Oryctolagus cuniculus: one gene and its partners. The protein of the gene in region 5 purifies or fractionates together with the protein of the main gene of each other region. This does not show direct contact. Links are inferred from orthologs where the notes say so. Each region holds a gene or a part of one and is shown on either strand. Other genes may lie near its edges. The genes, in order: SLAIN2, ENAH, VASP, CKAP5 and TACC3.

Region 1 (5,791 bases), about 41 Mb from region 5:
CCATCATATGAGTGCCGGCTGCTCTATTTCCAATCCAGCTCTCTGCTACGGCTTGGGAAAGCAGTAGAAGATGGCCTTGGGCCCCTGCACCCACGTATCCACGTGGGAGTCCTGGAAGAGCTCCTGGCTCCTGGCTTTGGATTGACTGGCTCAGCTCTGGCCATTGTGGCCATTTGGGGAGTGAACCAGTAGGTGGAAGATCTTTTTGCCTCTGCCTCTCTTAAAAAAAAAAAAAAAAAAAAGATTACAGAGGCATGATTCCTGTCTTGGTTGAGCTCAGAATCACCTGAAAAATAAACAAACAAGAGATAGCACAGCCACAGATTTTGGGTTTCACACCAGAGCTACAGACTCTGAAGGTAAAACTCAGGCTTCTACTTCTACACAAATTCCACAGATAATTCTGTTATAGCAGGTTTGAAAATCACCCTTATAGATTGCACTCAGAGTTGGAAGAAAGGAGTTTTATCTTAAATATCACTCTAGATTCAAATATGTTTTCATTATCTTTACTGAATATCATATTCAAATATCACAACCAAACTGAATGATTCTAACAGCCTTTTCTAGGAATTCTCTGAGATGCTTCATCAGTAAGGCACTGGGACAAATGTAATCTGAACCATATTGGTATAATATCCCAATAAGGGTATCTTTAATACAGTGAAGTGAGGTTTTATTCAAACTGTGCTGAGACTCAAGTGGGAAGCTACTATGACTCTCTGCTCACTATCAACAAGAAACAAGGCTACTTCCAGTCCACCTACTTTCAGACACTTAAGAATGCCAAAACAGAGCACCCCACTTACCTGCGAACAGGTTGTGCAAGTTTGCTGCGAGGCACTGGTATACCCCCAGCAGAAGGGGCACTGGGTCTGGGCAAGCCACTTCTCATTGCAGTTGTCCCTGCAGGTCTGGTTAGGGTGGTGCTGTTGATATTGCTGGGAGGATTTGCTGGGACTGTGTTCTGAACCATGGGAGGCCCAGGTGAAGAGGTGGTTTGTGTGAGCTGTGTTGTTTCTTGGCTACCAGGAGAGCCAGAGCCATGGTTACTAAAGGCTTTCACTGGTTGCCGGAGAGCCAAAGGAGATGGTGCTGCAGGGGAGCGAAATTTCCCTGGAGAAGGTACTGCGGAACGGCAAAGAAAAAAAACCAGTGTTTCAACCAAAGACCAAGTGTAAGTGAAACTTCTGTTTTATGTTACACCTGATGACTAGGCACTAGTACATCTGTATTCATGAAACATTATGTTGTAGAAACACAGCAAATAAAGGATATTTCTATCCTAATAAAAGGAAAAAGGTAACTGGTAACTGGTAAGTTCTACAAAACCAAGTCCTTAATTGGAGAGTTGTAACTGTCCTTGACAACAGTGTTTTAACTAGGCCAGACTGGATCCCAAAATACCAGAAGATAAAAGGCATATTAAAAGATAAAATGCATACAGGATTCTTCCTCATGGTTACAACTAACCTAGTGAATGCTCTAGAGGTGACAAAAAGGCTGGATACCAGATTGTTACATAGAATTTGAAACACATTTTCCCCTCAAAGAAACATTCACATATGCATGAATCAAGTATCTGGTGACCGTACCTCCATGTCTCAAATCACCACGAGACTAAAAATGTGTAAGAAACCAAAAATTATATAAAAAAAAAACCCACACAATTGCTCATATAGCTGTGCATTACAAAACAGGAAAGTTATAAATCTAGGGGTATATCAAGAGGTAAATGAAGTCACAGGACAAAGATATCTGTTTTTTTAGAATGTCAATTTTACTAGGTAAAACAATTAAAAATTTTTTTTTAATTAATTTGAAAGGCAAAGTGACAGAAGGAGGAAGGAAGGGAGGGAGAGGAAGACAGACAGAGGGAGAGAGTGAAATCTCTCCCATCTGCTGGTTCACTCTCCAAATTTCCACAGCAGCTAGAGCAGGGCCAATCTGAAGCCAGGCACTGCATCCAGGTCTCCCATATCCAGGGAGCCAACTACTTGGGCCAGCATCTGCTGCCTCTGAGGCACCTTAGCAAGGAAACTGGATTGGAATCGAAGGTAGGCACTCCAATATGAGATGTGGGTGTCCCAAGCAGACGTGCATATTCTTGGCTGCCACAACATCTACCTTACATTTTTATATTAAAACAAATATTGATATATGAGAGAGTAAAATGCACAATTTGCATTCATTTTTAAGCCAAAACAAGACATCAAAGAGAACATCCATTTCATACAACCCACATTAGTTTAAGGAAGATACAACTGGAGGGAAAGCATGGACAAGAGATTTGGTCCCAAGACCATAGAGATGGATTATTCTCTAAAATTTCCTTTTCCTCACTTTTACCAATCCATGTACAGGACATAAGTGACAGTAAGGTCTATCACAATAGCAGGTAAAAGAAAGGATGGATGAGTTTGGCTGCCATTGTCATCTGGTCTTTGGAAAAAGAAGAGGATGCTAGCTTTAGGTTCAAGACAAGAGAAATTAATCTCCTACCTCCTTTTCAGTATTTTTTGTACATAGCTCTTTTCTCTCCTAGCTGATCTTATCTACCCTCTGTCTAATCAAAGTTCTAAATATCAGCAACATCATGTTTAAAATATATACTCAGATCATCTCTGCTGGGGTCTAACACTCCCAGCCATGACTTTAAAACTTGACTGTACATCAGAATCCCAAGGAGTTTATACAAATATGAGGGCCCAGCTACCACTCCTGGAGAAACCAGTCTGAAATGGAACTTAGCTATGTATTTATTTTAAAATCACTATTGGATCTTCTAGTCATGACAGTGAAACTGGAGAGATATTTGCTCTCTTGCTGTAAACATCTATAAATGTAGACAAAATACAAACAGCATTTCTTAAATACCGGACAACAGGTAGTACAGGGCTATAATTCCTGAAAGAAGGGAAACAAATTGCTTGAGCCCTATCATCAACCCTGGCTTTTTGGGAAGAGTATAGGGGGTCCAGGAACACTTTGCTTTAAGAGCAGAGAGGGGAATCCCATGAAGATCAAAGCTACCAGGCTGCATTAAGGAGACAACAATCGGAATTTGAAGGGCAGGATATTTTAGAGGTGAGAGCTGCTCAGAACACCTACAGAACTTAGCTTAGGGCTCTGCTTGAATCTTTGGCTGAGTATTGAGTTACCTATGTTCAGGATAAGGCTCTATGAGCCTGGGAGAAAGGAGAATGGAACCTTTGGAAACTGAAGAGCTGCCAAAGCTCACACAGAATTACGACACATTTGAGTTTCAACCACAGAGTAGAATGTCCTTGCCAAACATCCAGCATACACTTAAAGAGGGCCAAGTCTTAATAGGAGGATAAACTAACCCTAGAATAAAGGCTACTCTAAAGTCGTTCTAATAAAGCTTAAAAATAAGCTTCTAGTGGCTGGTGCCATGGTGTAGAGGTTAAAGCCGCTGCCTGCAGTGCTGGCATCCCATATGGGCGCCAGCTCACGTCCCGGCTGCTCCACTTCCAATCCAGCTCTTGGCTATGGCCTGGGGAAATAGTGGAAGATGGCCCAAGTGCTTGGTCCCTTGCACCCATGTGGGAGACCTGGAAGAAGCTCCTGGTTCCTGGCTTTGGACTGGCTCAGCTCTGGCCATTGCGGTCATTTGGGGGGTGAACTAGTGTACTGAAGACCTCTTTCTCGCTCGCTCGCTCTCCCTCTCTTTCTGCCTCTCTGTAACTCTGCTTTTCAAATAAAATAAAAAATCTTTTTTTTTTGGACAGGCAGAGTGGACAGTGAGAGAGAGAGAGACAGAGAGAAAGGTCTTCATTTGCCGTTGGTTCACCCTCCAATGGCTGCCGCGGCCAGCGCACCGCGCTGATCCGATGGCAGGAGCCAGGTACTTCTCCTGGTCTCCCATGGGGTACAGGGCCCAAGCACTTGGGCCATCCTCCACTGCACTCCCTGGCCACAGCAGAGAGCTGGCCTGGAAGAGGGGCAACTGGGACAGAATCCAGTGCCCCGACTGGGACTAGAACCCAGTGTGCTGGCGCCGCAAGGCAGAGGATTAGCCTAGTGAGCCGTGGCGCCGGCCTAATAAAAAATCTTAAAAAAAAAGTTTCTAAAGCAGAGGTCAGTAAATTATCACCCATGGAGAAGTGAGCTGTTTTGTAAATAAAGTTTTATTAGAATATAGTAAGATCCATTCACTTATATATTGTTTATGGCTGCTTTCAAGTTACAATGACAGAGTTAAGTAGTTGCAATAAAGATCATACCACTCCATAAGCCTAACATATTTACTATCTGGTCCTTAAGAAAACAGTCATTGATCCCACGTATAAAGGTTCAAACTAATTCATGGATAACTTAATTGCTTGCCACAACAAAGTTCAACTGCTATTTAAAAGGAGAGAAAATTCAGCAAAGAGCAATGGAAAATTCTACGATGTCTACTATACTAAAGAGGCAAGGACATAATATAAAACATCAGGAGAAAAATTAGTCAATAGAAACAGGCAAGGATTTCAAAAGAATTATTATATATGCTCAAAAATACACAGATGCAAGCACTGAGGAGAGAAAAGAACTGGGTAGAACATTTAAAGACGTAATGCTACAATGTACCCAAAACGCTAAATTCACTGGACAGGAATGGCAGTTTAGATGCTGCAGAAAAAGCATCTGACGACATTAAGACTCATGATCTAAACTAAAGGATTCAGAGGAGAAGACTCAACAAAACAAAAAGATAAAACCTCAATGGTCTTTAGGCCAGTATTTTGTGATCTGATATAGTCCCAGATTTTAGGATGGAATGGTAATGAGTGGGTCTAAAAAACCTTTTTTTTTTTTTTCGAAGAAACAATGGCTTAAAAACTTCCAATCTTAATGAAAACTAGAAAATTATATATCTAAGTAGCTGGAGAAAAACCCTAAGCAGGGTCAAAAAAACAAAGCAGGGAAAACTACACCAAGGAACATCATGATTAAAGTTCTTAAAAAAATTTTTTTTTGTTTCAAATTCATTTAACAGACAGAGAGCTGCCCACAGTGGCTGGGAGTGAGCCAGGCCAAAGCCAGAAAAGGGGAATTCAATCCAGGTTTTCCGTGTGGGCAGCAGGAACCCAATTTCTTGAGCCATTACCCTTGCCTCCCAGAGTCTGTAACTGTGGGAAGGCAGACTCAAGAGTGGACATAGGTAGTGAACCCAAGCACTCTGATGTGCAATGATTTTTCCTTCTTTCTCTTCTTTTCTTTTATCTTCTTTCTTCTTTCCTCGTTTGTTAAGATATCTATATCTATTTGAAAGGCAGAGACAGGTAGATTATTCTTCCTTTCTTCCCTCTCTTCCTCCCTCGCACCCCAAATGGCCACAAGAGCCAAGCCTGGGCCAGGTTGAAGCCAGGAACCAGAAACTCCATCCTGGCCTCCCATGTGGGTGGGAGGGGCCCAAGTATGTGGACATCTTCCGCTGTCTTCCCATGCACATCAGCAAATTCAGCAAATCTGGATTGGAAGTGGAATTCCAGCCAGCCAATATGGGATGTCAGCTGTGCCTTAACCCACTGCACTATGATGTCTTAACTGGTAGTCCAAACACCTACCCCAAATTTCTGAAAACAAATAAATAACTTGGAAATCTTAAAAAGAAAAAAAAAAAAACATAAAAAAGGAGGAGGGAAAAAAAGTCAAAAATATTACAGATTTCTCAACAGAAATAGTGGAGGATGGCCCAAGTGCTTGGGCCCTGCACCCCATGGGAGACCAGGAGAAGCACCTGGCTCCTGCCATTGGATCAGCGCAGTGCGCCGGCTGCAGC
Region 2 (6,494 bases), on a different chromosome or scaffold from region 5:
AAAGGAGAAAGCCTAAATCAACAATCTTGGGTTTAACTGTTATTAATGTATTCAAAAAAGTTATTGAAGTCTCTGATTATACTCAACATAACAGAAAGTGCTCAGGAAAATGTGCCCTGAGTAAAATGAGCTTACACTTCATTTTTTGAGAGAAAATTAAGTCTGATGTGTCAAATGAGCTGATGGCCAACAGACGCTGTAAGTTCAATGGAGAAAGACAGTCTGGAGGGACAACCAAAGATAAACTAGAAGAGAAAACTGAAGTTCCCTGGAGGGGAGCTCAGTGAAGCCAGCTTTCCACAGAATACAGTCAACACACTTAAGAAGACAAAAAGCCCATCTCTATCTTTGGGAAACAATAAACAAATCCTTCTGAGGCCAAGTCAGGGCACAGCAGGTAAAGCCATAGCCTTTAATGCTATGATGTTCATTCCCTGGCTGCTGCACTTCCAATGGCTTGGGAAAGCAATGGAAGACAGCCCAAGTGCTTGGGCTTCTAGACGCACATGGAGACCCAAATGAACCTTCTGGTTCCTGGCTCTGGCCTGGCCCAGCCCTGGCTGGGGAGTAAGTCAGTGAATGGAAGTTCTAACTCTTTCAAATAAATAAATCGTTAAAAACAAACAAACAAACAAAAACAGAAAGTACAATGAAAGAAGTAAGGCAGTCATTGAGGAGAAGGAGGACATGTTCCTAGGGATGCAAATAATTTGTCTACAGTCAGGGGACCTGTTTCTAACTTAAAGGTTCATTCTTAATTTTTAAAATAGAGAAACTCGCCGGCGCCACGGCTCACTAGGCTAATCCTCCGCCTAGCGGCGCCGGCACACCGGGTTCTAGTCCCGGTTGGGGCGCCGGAGTCTGTCCCGGTTGCCCCTCTTCCAGGCCAGCTCTCTGCTGTGGCCCGGGAGTGCAGTGGAGGATGGCCCAAGTCCTTGGGCCCTGCACCCCATTGGAGACCAGGAAAAGCTCCTGGCTCCTGCCATCGGATCAGCGCGGTGCGCCGGCCGCAGCGCGCCTGCCGCAGCGGCCATTGGAGGGTGAACCAACGGCAAAGGAAGACCTTTCTCTCTGTCTCTCTCTCTCACTGTCCACTCTGCCTGTAAAAAAAATTAAAAAAAAAAAAAAAAATAAAATAAAATAAAATAGAGAAACTCTAAAAACTAAACAGATGCTTGCTTAATATTCAGGAGCCTGAACTGTATTTTTAAAAAATACATATGGTATGACAAAAAGAAAACAAGTAGAATACACCAAATCCATAAATCCTCTCAACAAATGACAAGTCTCAAAATAAGACAATGAATTATTAGTCCCATTCTGCAGAGAAAGAAATGGAGGTTCAGGAAAGTCAAGGCCTCAGAGGCAGTGAGCAGAACGACTCTGATTCTATTACACGATCTTCCCCCAAAATGAAAATGCCTCAAAAAATTTTCATATCCAGAAGGAAGATAACATTCAGAGAGCTTTTCCTTAAAGGAGAACAAAATAGTAATTCACAAAAGCAATACAAAATAACAGCATGAGATCTACTGCACACCATGGTAAATATAGTCAAAAATGATGCACTGTATACTTTAACAAAATTTCAAATGTACCACCAAATGAGGTGGCAGACATGCTAATCAGACCGATTTAATCATTTGCATTGTATGCTGTACATTTATTAAAGCCAACACCCCGTATTCCATAAAGTTATGATATCAATTAAAATTTTAACTTTTTTAAAAGTTAGATTGTTAAAAAAACACTGGAAATCTACTAAGTGACATAAGTACTAGAGGATATTTTAAGAAAAATTTAAAATATGGTAAGAATGACATTACTCAGAAGAGAATCAACCACAAATGTATGAAATGCTCTCTTCCCTCATGGTACTATGTACTGCTCTCCACAATTCTTTTATTTTTTTAAACAGCTTTAATACATACTTGTGAGCAGAATCCTCATGGCTTAATATCTTTAAAAAAAAAAAAAAGATTTACTTTGAAAGTCAGAGTTACACAGAGAGAGAAGGGGGGAGGGAGGGAGAGGGAAAGGGAGAGAGAGAGAGAGAGGTAGGTCTTCCATCCACTGGTTCACTCCCCAATTGGCCATAACTGCTGGAGCTACGTCAATCCGAAGCCAGGAACCTCTTCCGGGTTTCCCACGTGGATGCAGGAGCCCAAGGACTTGGGCCATCTTCTACTGCTTTCCCAGGCCATAGTAGAGAGCTGGATCGGAAGTGGAGCAGCCGGGACTCGAACCGGTGTCCATATGGGATGCCAGCACTGCAGGCAGCAGCTTTACCCATTACGCCATAGCGCTGGCCCCTGCCACAACTCTTGAAAACCGATTACATCCTCCCCCACTAAACTGTAAGCCTAAGGAAATGGGTCATGTCTCTGCACAACTTTCTTTCCTTTACTTACTTACAATAATTGTATTAACAATGTTCTTTTCCTTCTAGCTTATCCTTTAATTTTTTGTCATTTTTACTTATTTATCCTTTTGAGAGGCAGAGAGAGAGAAAAATAGAGACAGAGGGCTTCCATACACACTGGTTCACTTCCCAAATGCCCAGAACAGCCACATCTGGGCCAGGTCAAAGCCAAGAGCTGAGAATCAATCCAGGTCTCACACATGGGTGGCAGGGACTCAACCTCTTGAGCCATCACTTGCTGCCTCCCAGGGTGCACATTAGCAGAAAGCTGGGATCAGAATCGGAACTGGAACTAGAACCCAGGCATTCAGATATGGGATGCGTGCACCAAGTCACATTTAAACTACTAAGCCAAATGCCCACCTCTGTAATGGTTTTTGAGGATTTAACTTATTGAGCCATGTTATTAACACTGGATTCACAAAGTAAGAATCATCAAGACTTAGGCTATGATAAACTGAAACTTCACCTCAATTCTAAGAGCATCACAAGCCACTGAAGTGTTTCAGACATGAGGCTGCACTGATCAAACCTGAATTTCAAGAAGCTCTCTCCGACTGTAGCACAGTTACCAGACTGGATTGGGATAACAGATCAGTAAAATAGAGAATTCCAAACAACATATATGTAAAAAATGTTATATAAAATAAAATAGGTAGACACAAGGATCTTAACACAACAGCTCATTGTCAGACTCCAGAAGTTACCAGGGAAGCAAAAGTAATCCTAACATAAAAATATGAAATAATGAACTAACCATGTAGATAATGAGTCCCCAGCAAACATCCCTTCCAAGGCAGCATTAGCCTTCACTTCAGTTCACTTCACGTCTGCCCTGTCAGTCTCTCACTGATAGGCAGCTATTTCAATCCCAAAACAACACAATGCAAATCACCTACAAAGTTTAAGTGTAAACCTTTCAGAGAGGCATGCCTTTATGATGTCACTGAAAATGATGAAAAATATTTCTAACCAATAGCAAAGCCACTGACAAAAGTAAAGATCTGAGAAGGATACTGAGTAAAGGGGGCACGAGGGAACTTCACAGGGTATAAGTATGTTCCGTATCAGATGTGTACACATAATAAAAATTTACCAAGCCGAATGTACACTTGTGATTTGTGCATTCAGCTGTTTGTAAATTATACCTTAAGGGGTCACATAAAGGAAAATGAGTAAAGATGAGCCTTCTTCCTCCAAGAATTACTGGGTCTGGATATGAGACTAGCAATCCTATGGCCTACCCTGCTGCTATGGATTCCTTCTGAGAGGAGTGTGGTGGGGGCAAGAGGCGCGGAGTCACCACATAGACCCTGGGAGTCAGGTGAAAGGGGGCCAGAGGCGAGCAGCCCACAGACTCATTGGGGTACAGCAGCTTAAATAGCCAAGGCAGCCAATCTGGTCAAGGGGTGGTTTATGCCCTAACCAATCACAGCCTGTTGCCAGGCAGGCTCCGTTGCCAGGTGGGTTTCAAAGCCATTCCTGAGTAACTGACACTTGCTTGCCAGTGGCCATCTTGGCATGGCCTTCTCATTCCACACATTTCCCCCTTTTCATTTATTTTCGAGCAACGGGAGGCATGATTCTTGGCCATACCATTGTTGACCCCGTTTCCACGTGGTCTCCGTACGCGGCTGTGCCTGTCTTAGGTTGTCCCCCAGGGGATCTTACCCATCATTGACTAACCAGCGCTCAAAACAGGAGACCACAGGAGTGCTTGCTCAGATGGGGGTAGGAATGAGGAACAATGGTTATCAGGAATGGCATGACTGAACACAGGCTGTGGGCTGTTCCAGTGGCTGACCAGAGCTAGTGGGGCAGGCTCCATTGCCATGTGGTTTCCAAAGCCATCCAATCACAGCCTGTTGCCAGGCAGGCTCTGTTGCCAGGTGGGTTTCGAAGCCATTCCTGAGTAACTGACACTCACTTGCCAGCAGCCATCTTGGCATGGCCTTCTCATTCCACCACACTACCCCACTATCAACATGAGGCAGAGAGCACAATGGCTGAACCACCAGGGGCCTGAGACACCAGTGAGCCACTGACTCAGCTGTGTCTGGAATGTACCCCATCTCTGGACTCCCAACCATATGAGATAAACTGTCTTAATGTTTAAGAACCTTACATCTGGCCGGCGCCACGGCTCAATAGGCTAATCTTCTCTGCCTAGCGGCGCCGGCACACCAGGTTCTAGTCCCGGTTGGGGCGCCAGATTCTGTCCCGGTTGCCCCTCTTCCAGGCCAGCTCTCTGCTGTGGCCCGGGAAGGCAGTGGAGGATGGCCCAAGTGCTTGGGCCCTGCACCCCATGGGAGACCAGGAGAAGCACCTGGCTCCTGCCTTCGGATCAGCACAGTGCGCCAGCCACGGCAGCCATTGGAGGGTGAACCAATGGCAAACGGAAGACCTTTCTCTCTGTCTCTCTCTGCCTGTCCACTCTGCCTGTCAAAAAAAAAAAAAAAAAAAAAAAAAAAAAAAGAACCTTACATCTGTTACTTGCAGCTGCAAGCATGTAAATGATTGCAGAAGACCAACAGAGAATACTAGCCCCTCAAAAGAAAATGATTTGAAAAATCAAAGGAAAGCATCTAGGAAAACTAATAAAGCCCTTGTGACCATTTTGGCAAAAAGGACTTTATCATACAGCAAAAGTCCATAATAACATGAACAATATATAGTTTCATGCTGCCTTCAAATTTTGCCAGAAAAATTATGCAAAAATATTCTTAAAGCAACCCACACTTGATTCATTCTTCTTCTACTCTTAAGAATTTTAGACACAGTCACAACTATAACACAAATGTTTTCATAATTTTGTTGCACTTTTAAAGATTAAATCCAAATAAAACATTCTCTCTCTACCCCTTCTGTGCACTATTATCTCTGAAATGTTCTAGGTCACTTCATTCTACATTCCCTGTTCTTTACCAATTATTTTCAGAAAATAAAGACTCCTTACATGATGAAATCATGACCAAATACTTCACAGACACTAAACTTCAGGGGCTGGCGCTGTGGCATAGCAGGTGAAGCTGCTGCCTGCAGTGCCAACATCCCTCATGAGCACTGGTTCAAGTCCCAGCTGCTCCTCTTCTGATCTAGCTTTCTGTTTATGGCCTGGGAAAGCAGTAGAAGATGGCCAAAGTCGCTGGGTCCCTGAATCTGCATGGGAGACTTGGAAGAAGCTCCTGGCTCCTGGCTTAGGATCAGCCCAGCTCCAGCCATGGCCACCAATTAAGTGAACCAGCAGATGGAAGACCTCTCTCTCTCTCTGTTGTATCTCTGCCTTTCAAATAAATAAATAAATCTTTAAAAATGACACTATATTTCCATCTTCCACTTTCAGATGGCTTCAGTTTAATGAAACTATAAGTGTAATAAAAGAGAATGTAGGTGAATATATATGTGAATTTTAGGTTGGGAACACAGGACACCATAGACAGAAACTATGAAGACTGATGGACTGGCATGAAATTTTAAGACTTCTAAACCAAGACAAACAAAGAAGCACCTGGCTCCAGGCTTCAATTTGGCGAAACTCCAGCCATTGCAGCCATTTGGAGAGTGAACCAAAGGACAGAAGACCTTTCTCTCCATCTCTCCCTCTTACTGTCTGTAACTCTACCTCTCAAATAAATAAATAAATAAATAAAAAGTGACAAATTTGGAGATGGTGCTGTGGTGCATCAGGTAAAGCCGCCACCTACAACGCCAGCATTCCATATGAGCACCAGTTCTAGTCCCGGTTGCTCCACTTCCAATCCAGTTCCCTGTTAACGCGCCTGGGAAAGCATAATATGGCCCAGGGCCTTGGGCACCTGCACCTACATGGGAGACCCAGAAGTTGTTCCTGGCTCCTGGCTTCAGATCGGTCCAGCTCCAGCCACTGCAGCCATCTGGAGAGTGAATCAACAGATGGAAGTGCTCACTCTGTCTCTCCCTCTGTCTGTAACTATGTCTTTTAAATCAATATTCTAATATTTTTAAAAAATGACAAATTTACAAGATACATGTAGATTTTACATTATGGCCCTCAATGAATCACACCCTCTGACAAGTCCTCGTGTAGTCCTCT
Region 3 (6,291 bases), on a different chromosome or scaffold from region 5:
CCTGCTGAGGCTCTGGCCTGGCCTCGGGGCCAGGCACCTGCTGGGCGACCCTGGGCGGCTCCGACTCCTGCCCCGTGAGAGCACAGGGATCCGGCTGAGACCCAGAGGAGGGGCAGCACCATGCCCCACTCTGCAGGATCCACACCAGGTTCCTGCCGGCCTGGGTGCCCTGCCTGCTCTCCAGTCTCCTCTCCCAGCGCCCACTGACCAAGGCCTGCCCGAGCCCTGTGCAGGTGCAGCCCCCTTCAGACGTCACCTCTTCCCAGAAGCCCTCCCTGGCCACCTCATCTTCCTCCGGCTTCCCCGCGACACGGTTTCCAGCAGCGTCCCTGCTTGGCACGCGCCTGTCTGCCTTGCCAAAGCACCAGGTCCAGCGGGGCAGGGATACTCGCCCCTCTGCGCACCACTGCGTCCCCGGAACCTGGAGGGCGCCTAGCACACGCTCTGAACACATCCGAGTAAAAAGGCAAACCCGGCGGCACAGTGGCTGGCGGCCCAGACCGCGCTCCCGGCTCCCACGACCCCACAGCCTCAGGAGACCAACCCCGCTGCCTGCCCGGGCACAGAGAGGTGAAGACACTTGGCCCAGGTCACACTGCACGAAAGCACCGGGGCTCCTGTCTGATCTCATTTAAGACGCGAGCCCACTTACTCCAAGCCCACTTACGTTTTAACCTCACGGAAAGATGAGGAAAAGGCTGGGTGGCTCAAGAGTCTGTCTTTCCCCCAAAAGTGTGGAGGCTGCTAACAGCGTCACACGCTGTGGCGGGAGGCGGAGGCAGGCTGGGGGCTGGGGGCCGTGGGCACGGGGCCCTCGCTTCACTCTTCCTTTTGCTAAATGATGGGGCTGGGATGACCTGTGGAGACCTAATTCCTTACTTGATTACGTTTGGGAAAAAATAAATAAACTCAGCAAAAGCCGGACGGGAAACCCCACAGGCAGGAAGCCAGGGAGAGGGACGCCAGTGGTCCCCTGGGGTCTGTCAGTGAGCGCCTCGGTCCCCCTGCCCATGAGTCGCCTCTGGGGGTCACCCGCTCAGACACCACAATCACACAAATTCTTCCAGGCCAGAGCCCTGCGACCCGGAGCCCCGGCCCCGGCCCAGCCCCCCAGCCCGGGGGTCTCTGGGGGTTGTGCGGCCTGTCTCCCACTGGGAAGTCGGCAGGCGAGGCTTCCCAGGCAGGCCCCCACCACACCTCTGGACCATCCCGCGTGTCTGTGCAAGGAAAACGCGTCATCCGCACTTTCTCTGTACTGTCCTCTCTCTGCGACAGCCTAAGAGGTCGGCCGGCTGCAAACTGGGGGCAGGGGTGACTACAAGGCTGTAACAGCTTCCGCCTCTTGAAACTGTGCCAGGACGCCGGCTCGGAGCCGGGACAGGCTGGCCACACCGGGCAGGTGCTCACCAGCTGGTCTCCCGTCGCCTCTCGAGTAAGAGCAGTTATAGCTGCTACCCCGCTAAGGCATAGCCCCTCTTCCCAGCGGCTCCCGCCCCTTCTCCACCTCCCCCAGGATCCCAGCGCCGGGTCCCACTCAACAAATATTTGTCAGAGGAGAGAAAGAACTGGTCTTGTGATTTTCCATCCCTTCCAGCTGAGCTGCCCCCGGCCAAGCCGTGGCCAGCAATCCGACCCTCCCAGCCTCCTGCCCCGGGGCGCCCTGGCCTGGGAATTTCTGCAGGATCCGGCTCCTTGGCCGGGATTGGGGGCGTGGACCGTCGGAGAGGAAGTCGGCTGTAAGCGAGCAGGGGAGACCCTCTGGTGGGACAGGCCAGGGTCGGACTCCTGCCATCCCCCAGGAGGTAGGAGGCCCCACCACGGCCACAGCCACAGCGGGAGGGGGCCCTGGGAGAGGGCCAGGGCTGGGGGTGGCGGGGGCAGGGGGCTGGGCCAGACACTGCTCCTGCCCTTTTACGGTCGGTCTCACAGCGAGCGGGGCGGCCCTACCTCGGACATCCGCCATCCGCCTTCCACGGGGCCTGGGACCGGAAACGCTGGGGGGGAGGGGCGGAGTCCCGGGGGAGGGGGGAGAGGGTGAGGGAAGCAGGCAGCCCCTGGGGCAGGCCCAGAAGGGATGTTGCCCCGCAATGGGGAAGGAACCGGCAGGAAGTCCCCAGGGTGTCTGGGGATGCCCCCTCGCCCCAGAATTTCCACCCAGCCTTTAGCAGAAAGACAGCCCTGGGGCGGGTGGTAGGGGGTCTTTAATGGTCCCAAGAAAGGAATGCCACCCTGAGGTCAGAGGGCAGGGGTGTGGGGGCCCGGGGGGAAGGGCAGGACGTTGGGCACCAGGGGGTTAATCCCCAGCCGTCCCCAGGAGCCCCCCCACCCCCAGCGCTGAGGCTTCGGGGCAGGAAGTCCCAGAGAGAGTGGAGGAAGGGAGATAGTATTGTCAGACTCCAGCCCCACGGGAGAGGTTATGGGGGACCTGAGCGGGGAGCGGGGAGGGCCGCCGTGGGTACCCCCCCAGCCCGCACCGGCCCGGCCTTCAGGTGAGCCCAGGAGTCCAGGGCAGGTCCTCGGGCCGCTCCCCCCCAGGATTAAATTCCTGGGAAGAGCGCCGAACTCTCGGGAGGCCTGGGTCCCAGGGGGCGAAGGCTGTGACCTTGACGCTTCCCCGCGCCCCTTCCTCCAATCCCACGGCTCCCGAGCGCCGGGGGGGAGGGGCCGCGGCGGGGCGAGCCCGCCCCCCCACACCAGCTGTCTCGACAGGTGAGTCAGGAAGACAAAGGCCCCCTCCCCCCAGCTGCCGCGCCCCCTCCCCGCCCGGGGCCGCGCAGGTGGGGACCGGGGCCGCCCTGCTGGCCCGGCGCCGGGAGCCGCCCTGGGCACCGAGCGGCGAGCGCTCGCCCCGTCCTAGGCACGGCCTGGCTCCTGCACAGCATGCGCGGTGGAGCGACGGGGGAGGGGAGCCCCGAGCAGCCCCGCGAGGCTGCGCCCGGCCCGAGGGTCCGCGCACCCCGGGGAGGATCCCAGCGCACCCCCGGATTTAGGGGGTTAGCGGCACCCCGAAGTTAGGAGCGCGGCCCGCCCCACTTGGGGAGACTTGGAACGGGGGACCCTCCCAATCAGGATCCGCGTCTCAGCGTCCGCTCCAGGTCCCAGGTCTCCCCGAACGGCCCCCAGCCACCCCTCCAGGACCCCCCCAGGTGCGGTCTGGGCGGGTCCTGAGAGCCGCCTGCACCCCGGCATCCCCGCGAGGAGTCTCTGCCAACTTGGAGGTCCTCAGAAAAAGTCTCTAAAAAAATTCGGGAGTCTGCCGAGCGCCCCCAAACCTGAAGGCTCCCAGGAGAACCTGCCCGCGCCCACCCCGGGGCTCGCGGGTCACGGGGAGGCGGCCGCTGCTCCGAGCTCGTCCGAGACGATTCGGCCCAGACCCGAGCCCCCCCCCCAGGGCGCGGGTCCCCGAAGTCCAGCCCGGGCCGAGCGGGGGGAGGGGGACAAAGGCGGGCCGGCGGGGAGGGGTCCGGAGGCCGCGCGGGGCTCACCTCATGGCTGCGGGGCGGGCGGCGGCGCGCCCGCGGGCTCGGCGCTCCCGGGGCGCCCCTGGCTCGAGCTGCGGGGGTTCGCGGCCGGCGCCGGGTTCCGCTCAGTGTCCCCCGGGGTCCCGCCCCATAGAGTCCGGCTTCCTGGGGGGAACGGGCGCCGGGCCGGGGCGGCTTCTCGGGCGCCGCCTCCGCCTGGGGGCTCGGTGCGGGGGGTGCGGCGTGCGTCCCCGGCGCGCCCCCTCGGCCGGCGGCCGCCACCACCTCACTCTTACTACTGTACTTCTCTTCGCTACATTTCCTTCCAAAATTCCACTCCCCGCTCCCACAATGCCTCGCGCCTTAAAGGGGCCGCGGCGCCCGCGGGCGGGGGGCGGCGGCAGCGGGCGCCGGAAAGGGCCGCGCGCGAGCCCCGCACTTCCCCAATCTCGCTGTCCGCGGCGGCCCTGCGCGGGGGCTGCACCCTGGGCGTCACCCCCGAGCCCGCGGAAGGAGGGGGCGAGCCCGCTGGGGTGGGGGTGCAGGGAAGGGCGCCCTCCGCGACCCCAGCGCCCTCCCGCCACGGGGGTCTCGGGGCGTCTCGGCGGGGTCGCGGCGCCCACCGACGCGTCCATTCCCAACGTCCTGCTGGACTTCAGGGGGAGAACACGGGGAGGTGCCCAAACTTCCCCTTTAAATCCCCCCACTCGGACGCCCGCTGCCACCACTAACACACACACACACTGCGTCCCCCTCCTCCGCAGACTGACGAGGGGTCCCGGAGGGGCGAGCCCCCTCCCCCGCGCGGGGCCCCACCCGTCTCCCTGCCCCCCGCCGGCCCGGGAAGGTGAGGAGGAAGTGGGCCGAGGGGGCGCGGCCGGCCGCTGACTCACGGCCGCGGGGTCGGGATGGGGGCGGGGATTGCCCGAGGGCAGGGTGGGGGGTGGGACCCCGGCCCGAGGCGCGCCCCGGTGGGGCCTCCCACGGAGGACGGCGTGATCCCAGCGGTCGGGTGGGCCCGCGGCCGGGGGACCCTCCCCCACACGCCGGCCCCGAGGAGCACCGACCCCCCCCCCCGGCTTCCGCAGCGGCCCCGCCCCGTGACGTCACGTGTCACGCCCCCTCCCGCCCCGAGCCACCTGGCCCGGGGTAAGGTGCGGGCCCCGGGAAGTCGCAGCCCGGACTTTCCGAGTGGGTGAGCCCAGGCTCGGATCGGGGGTAAGTCTGGGGGTCCTCTTGTCCGAGCCCCCAGAACCCCGAAAGCCGAGGCACGGGGAGTAGAACCCCAAAACTGGGGGGCGCAGCGTGCGGCCGCGTGTGCCCCGCACCTGGGGGATCCTCGTCCCGGGACCAGTCGCCGGCCTGCGTGAGCCACCCGCTCGGGGAGACCTGGAACCCCGGTCCAGCGAGGGTGTCGCGATTTCTGGGCCTCCCCGAGCCCAGCCCTCAGTTCTCCATGACCTTGGGCAAGGCCTCCGTCTCGATTTTTCCACCTGTGAAATGGGAGGGGTGACAGTTCTGGGGGGCCAGCTGCACTACAGGAGGGGGGCTTTTCCTGTAAAAGGCAGAGAGAGAAACTTCCATGTGCTATGCACTCCTCACATGGTCCTAGTGCTGGAGCGAGGGCCCAGGGACGCCACTTGGGTCTCCCTCACCGATGGCAGGGCCCACGTCCTTCCCCAGGTGCGTCAGCAGGGAGTAGGGCAGCTGGGCAGCCGGGACTGCAGCTGGCGCTATAGGGGGTGCCGGCGCCACAGGCTGCACCAACTGGCGCTATTGGATGCCAGTGCCACGGGCGGCACCTGCGACCGCAGTGCCAGCCCCCACAAACTTTGTCTAGAACACTCCAAATGGACATATTAGACCTAAGGTCTGGCTGGCTTGCATTTTCTTTACCCTTTACAAATATACATTCTTTTAAGATTTATTTATTTATTTTGAAAGGTAGAGTCACAGAGAGAGGGAGAGACAGAGATCCATCTGCTGGTTCACGCCCCTTAGAGCCACAACGGCCAGAGCTAGGCCAGAGCTGGGCCGATCAGGAGCCAGGAGCTTCTTCCGGGTCTCCCACATGGCTGCAGGAGCTGCTTTCCCAAGCTCATTAGCAGGGAGCTGGATCAGAAGTGGAGCAGCCGGGGCTTGAACCTGTGACCTAACCCGCTGCGCGGCAGCACCAGCCCCCTAAACAGGGCTCTGAGCTCAAGTGCTGTACAAAGCAGGGGCCAGGGGCCAGCACTGCGACGCAGTGGGCTAAGGGGCTGCCTGCAGTGCCGGGCAGCCCCACTTCCCATGCAGCTCCCTGCCGGTGGCCCTGGGAGAGCAGCAGGTGATGGCCACCCACGTGGGAGACCCAGATGGAGCTCTGGCTCCCGCCTTAGCCTGGCCCAGCCCTGGCCTTTGTGGGCATTTGAGGAGTGAACCAGTGGATGGAAGATTCCTGTCTGCCTCTCTCACTTCTCCCTTTCAGATACATTTTTTTTTTTTTTTTTGACAGGCAGAGTGGACAGTGAGAGAGAGACAGAGAGAAAGGTCTTCCTTTTTTTGCCGTTGGTTCACCCTCCAATGGCTGCCGCGGCCGGCGCGCTACGACCTGCGCACTGCACTGATCCGATGGCAGGAGCCAGGTGCTTCCCCTGGTCTCCCATGGGGTGCAGGGCCCAAGTACTTGGGCCATCCTCCACTGCACTCCCTGGCCACAGCAGAGAGCTGGCCTGGAAGAGGGGCAACCGGGACAGAATCCGGCGCCCCGACCGGGACTAGAACCCGGTGTGCCGGCGCCGCTAGGTGGAGGATTAGCCTAGTGAGCCGAGCCACGGCTTTAATAAATACA
Region 4 (5,791 bases), on a different chromosome or scaffold from region 5:
ACCAGTATTCATAGTGCACAAAAGAGTACTTGCTAACTGAAAATTAAACACATTAAAAATTACAGAGCTGGGGCCGGTGCTATGGCATAGCGGGGAAGGCCATCACCTGCAGTGCCAGCATCCCATATGGGTGCCGGTTTGAGTTCCGGCTACTCCACTTGCAGTCCAGCTCTCTGTTATGGCCTGGGAAGGCAACGGAGGATGGCCCAGGTCCTTGGGCCCCTGAGCCCACGTGGGAGATTCCAAGGAGGATCCTGGCTCCTGGCTTCAGATCGGCACAGCTCCGGCCATTGTGGCCATCTGGGGAGTGAACCAGCGGGTGGAAGATCTCTCTCTCTGCCTCTGCTTTTCTGTAACTCTGCCTTTCAAATAAATAATATATAAATCTTTAAAAAAATTTACAGAGCAGATTGCCAGGCAGAATTTAAACCCTAAACTAGCTCAGATTTCTTGATTCAAAAATAGCATTCATATCTAAAGCAAACTGCTATGAATAGAATGCCCGGAAAAGAAAATGTCATGTCCAGTAAACACAGCCTCCACGTCCAACAACAGGCAAAGACGCCCCAGAGTTCTGTCTGGACTTTACAATGCACTGCTGGGCTGAGTGTGCTATCAGAGGTTAAAATCTTAGTTGCAGTTGAGATGGCAGGAAAGCTGACACCTAAGAGATCTTGCAGTTCTTTTCACAACATGCTAAATGCTAAGAAAAATCACTCACATTTCCAATCAGTTTGAACACCTGATCCCCATGTACATTGTACACAGTTACAATGGTGTTGAGGGCAGCATTGCGTACAGCATTGTCACGGTCTCCTATGTGAATAGCTATCTCCTTTAAGGCTTTTCCTGGGGTTGGCTGGCAAACATTCATGCCATAGGACTCGACCAGACACCCCAGCTCTTCCAGGCACTCTGTTGGTGGAGAAAGGCTAGATTAATGAGACTCAACACACATTTGGCATAGAGGTTTATCCTTGCTAGATAGATTTCCTTTGGCCTGTATGAAGGACTAAAATCTTATTCTGGTTCAGTCTAAAATTTTCTCGTGTTTAATGCCAAAGCAACAAAACAATGGTGTTACAGTAAGTGCTGTCCCTGAAAGAAAGGAATGCCTGTGAGTCAGATGGCCCCTGTGCACTTGATTTTGTCACCAGGGTGGTACTGAGTGGTGCCTGTATCACCTGATACTATGGCTCCACCAGTGTGCAACTCATCACTCTCACAGTCTAAATCAGAAAGTTGGAATCCATTAAACAGACACCAAGGAGATGTCCCTGTTCATCTACAAACTATTTCTTCAGGGGTCACAGTGGCAAGGATTTGTGTCTCAATTTAAATTGTTTACTTTACCTGCTCTTTGCTTAGAGTTTTTGGATTTGGTTCCTTCCATGATGAAGGGGAACATCTTGCTGGCTGGGTAGACAAGGCACATCCGGTTCAGGATGGCACGAACATCTTTACGAATGACATCCTTTGGTTCTCCAACCTAACCAACAAGAAAAACAATGATTAAGTGAAGCCTTTTCTGAGTAGCAATGGTCTCTCCTAGGCATTACGACATCTTGAAAGGTGAGTATTAGGACAAGTAAGGTCAGCTGAAAGTTTAAGCAGTTCCCTGGAGTGAGAACAACAAATTACCTTGAGAATGAGATAGGGAATGAAGGAAGCGGCTTCATTCTCAGTCAGATGATATTCCTCCTCACTTAGCAGAGTGAAGAGCAATTTTAAATATTCTAGTGCTTTCATCAGGACGCTTGTATTGGTGTCAAAAAACCGTAGGGTAAGCCATTTCAAGATGAGATCCAGGCAACCAATGACACCTTCTTTTTCACTCTCCAAGTGCTTCAAAACAAAACAAAACTCCCACAAATAAGAGTGTATAAAAACATACGTTCCATCAGGCAAAGTACCTTTAAATTTTAATGCAGTGCAAAAAGAAAAGATTTTTTTAAGTCTCCAATTAAGAACTAAAAGATATAAACACAGTCTATCAAATAATTTAAGACAGCTGTAAAAACAGAGAACATGGTGTATTCTACAGCCTTTTCAAGTCATGCAAACTTCTTGTTATTTCATAGGCTCAGTATTTTCAGTTTTGCCTGAGATGTGTATATTTATCTAACACAGACTTACATCAACCATGACGGCCAGGGCTTTGTTATGATGCTGGAAGTCTGAGTGAAACATCTCATCTTGTAACCATTTAGCCACACAACTAGACATCTGAGTCTTTAGCTGCTCGATGTATTCGTCCCGAGGGGCAGTAAAATTCCACTTCAGCACCTGAAAAACAAAACAGCACACACAAAGTAAAAAGAGGTTATAATGTGTTCAATTGAAATGAGGTAAAGAATCTTATTTAGGGGCCGGCGCTGTGGTGTAGCGGGTAAGGCCGCTGCCTGCGGTGCCGGCATTCCATATGGGTGCCAGATCAAGTCCCGACTGCTCTACTTCTGATCCAGCTCTCTTCTACGGCCTGGGAGAGCAGTAGAAGATGGTCCAAGTCCTTGGGCCCCTGCACCCACGTGAGAGACCTGGAAGAAGCTCCTGGCTCCTGGCTTCGGATTGGCAAAGCTCCAGCTGTTGCGGTCATCTAGGGAGTGAACCAGCAGATGGAAGACCTCTCTCTCTCTAACTCTTTCAAATAAATAAATAAATCTTAAAAAAAAAAAAAAAAAAAGACACCATGTACCAAATGATTAGGGATCAGTGTCATGGTGAAGTGGGTAAGAGCTGCTGCCTACAACACTGGGATCCCATATGAACACCAGTTTGAGTCTTGGCTGCTCCATTTCCAATCCAGCTCCCTGCTAATGTGCCTGGGAAATCAGCAGAAGATGACCAAGCTCTTAGGCCCCTGTCACTCTTGTGGGAGACCCAGAAGAAACTGCTGGCTTTGAAACAGGCCAGCTCCAGCCACTGTGGCTATTTGGGGAGTGTACTGGTGGACAGAAGATAGATCTTTCTCTCCCTCTCTCTCTGACTCTTTCAAATAAATAAAAGCCTTTATTAAAAAAAAAAAATTAAAGAAGCCAGCCCATTACTTATGTTCAGTTGATTTAAAAAAAAAAAAATCAATGGATATCTTCATTCTTTGATTTAAAAAAATACAAAAATAAAACACCAAAAACTACTAAATACTTTTTTTTATTTAGATAAAAATTAAGCAAATAGTTCCATTCTGTAGTTTCTATAATAGGAAATTAATGCTTCCATAAAATAATCTTTTTATAAGCAAAAGATTCAGATAATTACTAGATATTTCACAATAATAAATATGAAATATTTCACAATTAAGATTTTCAAAAAGCAAAATTAACTTTGCTTAACAAAATGAAAACATGCAAAAACTCTTGAAAACCTGTATCCCTTCCTTACCTTCAATCCTTTTTCATCCTTCATCCTTTGCTCCTTTCCATTTGGAACAACAATAAAAATAGGCCCAGATTTGTCTTCATCTTCCTTTAGGCTGGTTTTGCTCGGTACTTTCTTTCCTTGTGCACTCTACAATCCCATTCAGAGAATACTGATTAGCTATATCATTTCTCCTGGGGAATATGCTACTGTTGCCACTGAAAGGGCACATTAGAAATTACCACCCTCTACATCATAGGCCACATGAAATAGCAGTCACAGAATTTGCATCTAATCATGTTTTTATACAGCTTTTCTAGAAATGTTTCTAATGTCATTCTTAAATAATTGTTGGATAGTTCTTGGACTGGCATGCAATATAGCTGGAAAAGCTGCTATTTTATAGCATTAGTCTGGATCACAGACTACTTTCTTTTCCTTGTTAAAGATTTATTCAGGGGGTTGGCATTGTGGCACAGCAGCTTAAACTGCAGCCTATGGTGCTGGCATCTCATTGGGCACCGGTTCGAGGCCTGACTGCTCCATTTCCAGTCCAGCTTTTTTCAACACTGTAACTTTCCATATTAGTGACATTTCAAATACCATTTACATATTAGCATTACTTAGCTGAGAAAGCTTTTCTGCTTCTCTCCAAATTTAAGTGTACCTCACAGCAGTACAATGGGATACCTTTTGAACCTGTTTCTTGAGAAAGGTGCTAGAAACAAAAATACTTAAGTAACTAAGTTTTAAAAAATAGCTGAAGACTTAGAATCTCTATCAGAAGGAAAGGAAATGTGAACAACAGCACCCTTGAAATAAAATTTGAATTTCATTATTGAATCACGGTTATTACAAATGCTGCAAGAGTTCACCATTTCTAGTTAGCTAGAATTTCTTTCTGGTTGGAACATTGAAGTCATTCAGTCAAAACAAATATGAGATCAGTTATGTGAAACTGCATTGTATATTGCAAAAGACTGGAAAATTTTTTGTAGCCAAAAATACTTCAGAGCACTTGTGATCAAAACACTAAAATAAGCACTTGTTAGAATTTGGAATGAGGACAGGGAAGATAGGAAAAGAGCAATGTATTGGATAGTTTAGAAGATAATTATCCACCAAAATGAATGCAATGAGGTAAAGGGAGCCCACCCTTTGATGGGGGTGCAATAACACATGCACTGGCTAACAAAAGTCCCTACTCCTCTATGTTTTCCTGAATTACATAGAATTAATCAAATAGTTTCCTCTATTTAGAGTTACTATTAATCATATAGTTATACAATTTTCCACTGAATATAGCAACCAACTCAGAATCTTGATTTCAGAACTTATGACAATCTGCTGTGCTTCCCCAAATTAAATTAAAAAATCACTCAGGGGGTTTTTAAAGTTGAGCATTTGAACACAATTCTTTAAATTATCCAGAAAATAAGTTGTGGACACCTTAGAAAGAGGATGGAACACTTTGAGGAAGGGATATTTCAATGAGTTACACCAAAATGCCTATTTGGACTTAAGAGATCAAGTTAGTCTTCATACTTGCAGCACAGTTCTGGTATACAACACTGGGATCCCATATGAACACCAGTCTGAGACATTGACAGGATTGGTAACGCATCAAAATAAATCCCACTGGTTTAGGGACAAAAGTTATTTCCTTGCAGACTAATCAGAACACCTTCTAGTAGGATGACTTAACTGTCAAATTTGAAGGAAGCTGATAACCTTCCTTTGCTCAAATCCAAGTCAGCATTAAGCATTTATTCTGCCATCCCTATATGCTTTCCTTCCCTTTTCACTACTGCAAATATTCCCCAGAGATAAGCGTGACAGGAACTAAAACAGTATTTCTTGAGAGCAGGATGTTTCTTTTGGGAATTTTTATAAATAAGCTGCAGAAACTTGATGAAACCTGATAATCTGACACTATCCAGAATGGTGATATTCTTTCATATATAATAGGATCTTTCCTAGTAGGAAGACTCAGCGTACAAAACACACCTACAAGCAAATGTACATCTATGTGTGCAGAGCTAACATACCTTTACTTTAGAGGAAACTCCTGGAGCTTTGGCCTTTTTGGGATCAGGCTTGGGTTCTACAGTGTTGGAAACAGCATCTTCAACAGGCGCTTCAAGAAAAAAAGGACGTGTTATAAATGTGAACTCTTACCTAACATCACTCTATTCTCTGGGTGGTTAAATATACAGATGATGAGAAAGCCTTTAGCCATATATGTATCAATTTCCAAAGTGTTTTCAGTCATATTTTTATTCCTTAATCTTTCTCTTCCAACCGGGTCTCAAACAGGTGCCCATATGGGATGCCGGCACTTCATGCCAGGGCGTTAACCTGCTGCACCACAGCACGACCCCTAAGTAAGTTTTAAAAAAAGCCTTTTTGCCAGGCTGATACTTCAAGGGTAGGG
Region 5 (5,791 bases):
GAGGCACGTCCAGGGCCCCTCCCAGTGCCGGGCCCTCACCACGGCCATCAAAGCCTGCTGTGGCCCACGGTCCCTCCCCAGGCTGCGTGGACAGCGAAGCCCCCGCTGGCCTCGCCCATTTCACTGGCCGCTGCCTTTGCCTGCTTCTTGGGGATGTGGGGTCCAGGCCGGCAGCACCAGCCCCCAGCACAGGGCGAAGGCCCGTTCTCAGCCTCGCCCCGGCCAAGGGGAGTCAGGGCTGAGCCGCCACCTGCTGGGAAGGGCTCCTGGGGCTGCCGAGCCCCCTGCACCTGTCCCTGGGGCTCAGCGGAACCCCCTCAGTGCCCCCAGGAGCAGGGCTGCTCCGGGGTGAGGCACGAGTGGGGGCCTTGTCTGCAGCCAGCCCCGACTATCACTCGGAGACGCTGCCGCTTGTCTACACTGGGCTTTGGGCAGCAGTTCTACCTCCTGCTTCTCTGGGGACAGCAGAGAGCCGGGCCGCGCTGGGGGCAGGGGCGGCCACGGGGCTGCTTCTGCAGGGACACACTGCTCTGGGTCCTCCCCGCCACCCAAGTGCCGCACGCGCTGGCCGCCGGGTGCCGTGGCCGCACCATGTCCAGCGTCTGGGGCTCCCCTGGCCTCCCGGGGCCACCAGCTTGCCCTGCCCGCCCAGCGGTGCCCTCACTGCTGGGGACACTGCACAGTCCAGACGGCGACAGCCCACGGCAGCCTAAGGGGAACTTTATTCAGCAGCCAAAGAGAGCGGCTGAAAGCAGCAGCGAGCTCAGATCTTCTCCATCTTGGAGATGAGGTCGTCGCAGATCCGCGTCAGCTCCTCGTTCTCCTTCACCTGGGAGGAGGGAAGCGGCCGTGGCTGGGGGCGGGTGGCGGCTGGGGGCGGCTGGGGGCGGCCGGGGGCCCGGGCCTCACCTTCTGCTCCACGGTCTTCTCCAGCGACTGGATCTGCATCTGCGCCTTCCTCATGCTCGCCTGGAAGGCCAGGGCCTCCGCCTGGGCCTTGCTGCGGACCTGGGCGATCTCCTCGCTCGCCCTGGGCGGACAGAGGGCAGCGGCTGAGCCCCGCCCTTCCGCCTGGCCCCGCCCTTCCACCCGCCCCCCCCCCCCCCCCAGCACTCACAGCTTGAGCTTCTCCTCCGCGTGGGCCTTCAGCGCCTGGTACCTCTGGGCCTCCTTCTCCACCCGCGCCGCGTAGTCCTCCACGCACTTCTTCAGCGACTCCTCGTTCTGGGGGGAGCACCCACAGCTGCCCTCTCTCACGCCACCCAGCCACCCCTGCGAGCTGACAAGGGGTGAGGCAAGGCCTGCCTGGTGCCTGGGCACGGTAGAGGGGACGGGCTGCAGGCTGGCAGTTGACACCAGCATGGTGGCCCTGGCGTGGGAGCCGCCTCCCCCCAGGCTCAGCAGGGCCCAGCGCCTGCCACCCGAGCTCCCCTGGCTGCCCCGCCCACTGCACCGACACTGACACGCTCGCCTCTGCACAGGTGCTGCCCCTCGCTGGCTGGGAAGTCGCCACTGTGCGCAGCGGGCGTCCCCGCGGGGGTCCCCTCCCCGCCACCTGCTGCCCGCAGCCATGGGCAGCACCCGGTTCCACGCCCCCTGACCCGAGCTCCTCCCTGCCCCCGGCGTCCAGCCCAGCGCTGCCTCTGCACACAGGACAGTGGCTTCTCAGTGCGCCCGTGGAGCTCCCCAGCACGGGCACGGGCACGGGCACGGGCGAGGCAAGGGAGGCAGCGTCTCCGGGGCAGACGGCCCTGTCGGAGAGGCCCTGTCTCCGGCCCCCGCCAGGACAGCCGATAGCGCGTCACGTGCCGACAGGGCTGGGGGCTGCTGCGGCCCCTGGGGGTGTCTCCTGCCCGGCTCTGTGCTCACGACCCTCCCCGACGCGCTCTGCAGAGCTGCCCCCATGGAGTACCCGCTTTACTTCTGTGGGCGGCTGGGGACCAGCCACTGGCCTGAGGATGGAGACAGGCGGCTCACCCTGACCCCAGGCACCCACGGAGGCCCCCAGGCCAGCGGTCAGCCTCGCTGTCCTTGCAGTCGGCAGAGCCGCCCCCGCGCTGCGGCCCCCCGGGCACGGCTGCCCCAGGCCGGGCCGAGGAGCGGGCAGCCCTACCTTGCGGTAGCCGCCGATCACCTCCTTCTGCTTCTCGAAGCGCTTGAAGAGGTCGGAGAAGGACTTCTCCGTGGAGCTCAGGTCCGCGGCGAGCTGCTCCCTGTCCTTCAGGACCTTCTGCACTTCCGCTCTGGCAGCCTCCTTCTGCCTCTGGACCTCCTCTGCAGAGCGAGCAGCCGGGTCGGGGCGCCGGCATGCCAGGCACCAGGGCGCTGGCAAGCGCGGGCCCGCCAGATGGCCCTCCCACCGCATGGGCCAGGCCGGCACGGGGCCAGCGGACACCCGCCCTCACGCAGTCCCACAGGGGCGAGTGCAGCGGCCCGAGCCCGGCCACCACAGGGGCTGCTGGACGCACTCAGCCGGTGGGGACAGGACGGGGCCCAGCACAGCTCTGCCCAGAGCCCCGTGGCCGTGGGCGGACGAGGCACGCGGGGCACTTACCCATCGCCTGGTACACGATCCCCTCAAACCCGTCCATGATCTTCCTGCGGGGGAGGGCGGTCAGTGCTGCGCCGCGGCGGCCCCGGGCCCCGTCAGCCCCGCCGGCCCCACGAGCCCCGGGCCCCGCCAGCCCCGCCGGCCCGCGGCCTTACCCCATCTCCAGGTTCTTGGTGTGGAGCTCCTCACACCGGCTCCTCAGCTCCAGGTTCTCCTGCTGTGCCGCCTGCACCTGGGAATCACACACACGCGGGAGCTGCACGCCCCGCCCCTCCCCACAGCAACGTCAGGAGTCACGGGCTCCACGGGGCTTCAGGGGACCCCGGGGGCCCTGGCCAGGCCGAGGCCACCTGCCTCACATGCCTCACACGCTGGATCGTGACACCCGCCACGGCACAGCCCAGCAGAGGCCCCGCAGCGCCCATCCTCCCGGTGTGCCCGTCAGCCCCACGTGACTCTAGCCGGGCACACCAGGTGCCAACGGCCGAGGCCCTGCGTGTCTGAGGGCAGAGGCTGGGGTCCTAACCCAGAGGATGGTGCAGATGGACTTACACCAGGCCCCACTGCCACCTGCTCAGGTGTGCCCCGCGGCTGCGCCCGCCCCGCCAAGCCCCAGGGCGGCCTGCCCCTTACTGCGGCGTCCAGGTCTCGCTGGCTGTACCGCAGCACGTCCACGATGGGCCCCACGGGCAGGGGTGGACAGCTGGGCTCCAGGATACACAGGGGTTGGGCCGGCACCTGCAGGGATGAGAGACGCGTCACAAGGCTCTCAGCCTCGCCTCCTCCCACCCAGCACCAGCGAGCAGCCCCCACCGTCAGCGACCTGCGGCTCCAGGGGGCCCGACGCGCTCACAGGGACAGGCAGGGCTCCCCCGAGGTCCAGGTCCACGAGCAGCGTGTCCAGGGGGCCCCCCGAGGGCTCAGCGGCGACCTGCGTGCTGGGGGCCGAGGAGCGAGGCGGCTGGGTCAGCCCACACGCGTCTGCTCGCACGGGGCCCCCCGTGCTGCTGCCCGCCCGCCCCTGTCCACCCTGCCCGCACCTGTCCGCCTCAGCGGCCGTGGCCAGCGGCACGAGTCGCACAGGACTGTCTCTCAGGAGAGGATCGAACTTCAGGTACAGGGACTGCTTCCTCAGGGCCGACTCCTTGAACTGGGGGAGGCGGGGCACTCAGCGGGTTCCACGCGGCCCGGGGACGCCCCAGCGCGCCCTCCGCCCTGGCCACACCGGACAGCCCCGGCAGCACAGGGAGGGCTGGAGCACGGGCGTGGCCAGGGTGCTGCGGGACACACACGGGGGGGGGGGGGGGGGGCGTGGCCAGGGTGCCGCGGGACACACACGGGGGGGCGTGGCCAGGGTACCGCGGGACACACACGGGGGGGCGTGGCCAGGGTGCCGCGGGACACACACGGGGGGGCGTGGCCAGGGTGCCGCGGGACACACACTGGGGGGGGCGTGGCCAGGGTGCCGCGGGACACACACGGGGGGGCGTGGCCAGGGTGCCGCGGGACACACACGGGGGGGCGTGGCCAGGGTGCCGCGGGACACACACGGGGGGGCGTGGCCAGGGTGCCGCGGGACACACACTGGGGGGGCGTGGCCAGGGTGCCGCGGGACACACACTGGGGGGGGCGTGGCCAGGGTGCCGCGGGACACACACGGGGGGCGTGGCCAGGGTGCCGCGGGACACACACGGGGGGGGCGTGGCCAGGGTGTCGCGGGACACACACTGGGGGGGCGTGGCCAGGGTGCCGCGGGACACTCACCGAGGAGGTCCCGAACTGCTCCAGGTAATCGATCTCGGCCCCCGTGCCTAGGACTGAGGGGCAGAGGTCAGGGGGCCCGGCTGGGCCCTGGGAGCCAACCCTCCTCCCGCCCTCCGCCCAGCCCGGCACCAGAGCTTTGGCCCACGGCTCAGGCCTCTGCCACTTGGGAGCCGACTGCTCTCACGGGGCGGGGGCACCGAGCGCGGCACCCGAGGCACTGCTGGGGTGAGCGCCCGTCTACAGCTGTTCCAGAACAAACACCTGTCACGTCATCCGAGGCTGGAAAACCTCGAGGGGCCTAAACCCTTCACAAAATCAACTTATCGGGGCCGGCGCTCTGATGTAGCAGATAAAGCCCCAGCCTGCAGGGCCGGCATCCCACATGGGCGCCGGTTCGAGTCCCGGCTGCTCCACTTCCCACCCAGCTCTCTGCTGTGGCCTGGGAAGGCAGTGGAAGATGCCCAAGTGCTTGGGTCCTGCACCCACGTGCGAGACCTGGAAAAAGCTCCTGGCTCCTGTTTCTACCTGGCCCAGCTCCGGCTGCTGTGGCCATCTGGGGACTGACCCAGCGGATGGAGGACCTCTGTCACTCAGCCTCTCGAGTAAGTAAACGAGTCTCTGAGGAGGGAGACAAGTGGGATGGCACCCACACCAGGAGCTCCTGCGGGGGCCGGGGTGCAGACCACCGACTCCAGAAACGGCACCGTGCCTCCCGGTGTGCAGCACCGGCCATCAGGGACTGCCGAGGACAACGCGTGCACACATTCCGTGCGAGCGCCCCTCTCCCCGGGCGTTCAGCCAGCAGGCGATGACCACGGAGAAACCGACGCCACATCGCTCTGCACACGGTGCACAGATGGCCCCAGGACAGCAGACCAAGGCTCTGCCCACAAACACACACAGACAGACAGACACGGCTCTGCACACGCACACACACACACACACAGATACTGTTCTGTGCACGCGCACACAGACAGCTCTGCACACACACACACACACACACACAAGGACACGGCTCTGCACACACACACACAGACATGGCTCTGCACATTCACGCACAGATGGCCCTGGAGCATGCGACGCCCACGTGTGTCAGGGAGGGGCAGCTGCACCACAGGCAGCCCCGCCACACCACTGGGCCGGTGCAGGGACGTGGGGACGCAGCACTGTGAAGGCCCCCAGCCCTCAGGAGGGAGGCAGTCGCCCCCAGCCCGGGCGCGGGCAGGACAGGCAGGGCGCGGGGCTGCCCAGGGCCCACGGGGTGGGGGGCCTCTCCAGCTGAGGCCCCTCCGTTCCACTCCCAGCCTTCCACGACCGAGTTTCTAAGTGACCAAAACCGAGACGACGCCTTCTCAGCCCCAAAGGTCACCGCATGCCTGTCGGCTTCCGGGGCAGCCTTCTGGGACCTCAGGTCTGCACTGCCACCGCCCGTACCCGGGGGCGAGCTGTGCGCTCGGCAGGGCTCCCGCCACCAGG

What was found.
Region 1: the proteins of TACC3 (region 5) and SLAIN2 purify together in Homo sapiens (co-immunoprecipitation; 3 studies listed by BioGRID and IntAct, counting the BioPlex papers as one, with this or other methods). This does not show direct contact. The link is inferred for Oryctolagus cuniculus from reciprocal best matches to the Homo sapiens genes TACC3 and SLAIN2.
Region 2: the proteins of TACC3 (region 5) and ENAH purify together in Homo sapiens (co-immunoprecipitation; 3 studies listed by BioGRID and IntAct, with this or other methods). This does not show direct contact. The link is inferred for Oryctolagus cuniculus from reciprocal best matches to the Homo sapiens genes TACC3 and ENAH.
Region 3: the proteins of TACC3 (region 5) and VASP purify together in Homo sapiens (co-immunoprecipitation; 3 studies listed by BioGRID and IntAct, with this or other methods). This does not show direct contact. The link is inferred for Oryctolagus cuniculus from reciprocal best matches to the Homo sapiens genes TACC3 and VASP.
Region 4: the proteins of TACC3 (region 5) and CKAP5 purify together in Homo sapiens (co-immunoprecipitation; 5 studies listed by BioGRID and IntAct, with this or other methods). This does not show direct contact. The link is inferred for Oryctolagus cuniculus from reciprocal best matches to the Homo sapiens genes TACC3 and CKAP5.

The regions. Positions count from the first base shown.
Region 1 is NC_091433.1:41,593,099-41,598,889, reverse strand, and holds part of SLAIN2 (SLAIN motif-containing protein 2), read right to left. Parts: intron 1,129-5,791; coding exon 810-1,128; intron 1-809.
Region 2 is NC_091444.1:39,805,490-39,811,983, reverse strand, and holds the start of ENAH (protein enabled homolog), read right to left. Parts: upstream 3,619-6,494; 5' UTR 3,209-3,618; coding exon 3,180-3,208; intron 1-3,179. UniProt on the Homo sapiens protein: Ena/VASP proteins are actin-associated proteins involved in a range of processes dependent on cytoskeleton remodeling and cell polarity such as axon guidance and lamellipodial and filopodial dynamics in migrating cells.
Region 3 is NC_091449.1:11,383,661-11,389,951, forward strand, and holds the start of VASP (vasodilator-stimulated phosphoprotein), read right to left. Parts: upstream 3,830-6,291; 5' UTR 3,491-3,829; coding exon 3,486-3,490; intron 2,120-3,485; exon of another isoform or gene 1,948-2,119; intron 1-1,947. UniProt on the Homo sapiens protein: Ena/VASP proteins are actin-associated proteins involved in a range of processes dependent on cytoskeleton remodeling and cell polarity such as axon guidance, lamellipodial and filopodial dynamics, platelet activation and cell migration.
Region 4 is NC_091432.1:19,173,476-19,179,266, reverse strand, and holds part of CKAP5 (cytoskeleton-associated protein 5), read right to left. Parts: intron 5,495-5,791; coding exon 5,406-5,494; intron 3,508-5,405; coding exon 3,382-3,507; intron 2,287-3,381; coding exon 2,137-2,286; intron 1,846-2,136; coding exon 1,642-1,845; intron 1,490-1,641; coding exon 1,354-1,489; intron 1,228-1,353; exon of another isoform or gene 1,117-1,227; intron 916-1,116; coding exon 722-915; intron 1-721. UniProt on the Homo sapiens protein: Binds to the plus end of microtubules and regulates microtubule dynamics and microtubule organization. Acts as a processive microtubule polymerase. Promotes cytoplasmic microtubule nucleation and elongation. Plays a major role in organizing spindle poles.
Region 5 is NC_091433.1:621,189-626,979, reverse strand, and holds the end of TACC3 (transforming acidic coiled-coil-containing protein 3), read right to left. Parts: intron 4,369-5,791; coding exon 4,316-4,368; intron 3,702-4,315; coding exon 3,592-3,701; intron 3,490-3,591; coding exon 3,375-3,489; intron 3,290-3,374; coding exon 3,185-3,289; intron 2,784-3,184; coding exon 2,707-2,783; intron 2,599-2,706; coding exon 2,555-2,598; intron 2,275-2,554; coding exon 2,114-2,274; intron 1,225-2,113; coding exon 1,118-1,224; intron 1,031-1,117; coding exon 910-1,030; intron 830-909; coding exon 764-829; 3' UTR 705-763; downstream 1-704. UniProt on the Homo sapiens protein: Plays a role in the microtubule-dependent coupling of the nucleus and the centrosome. Involved in the processes that regulate centrosome-mediated interkinetic nuclear migration (INM) of neural progenitors.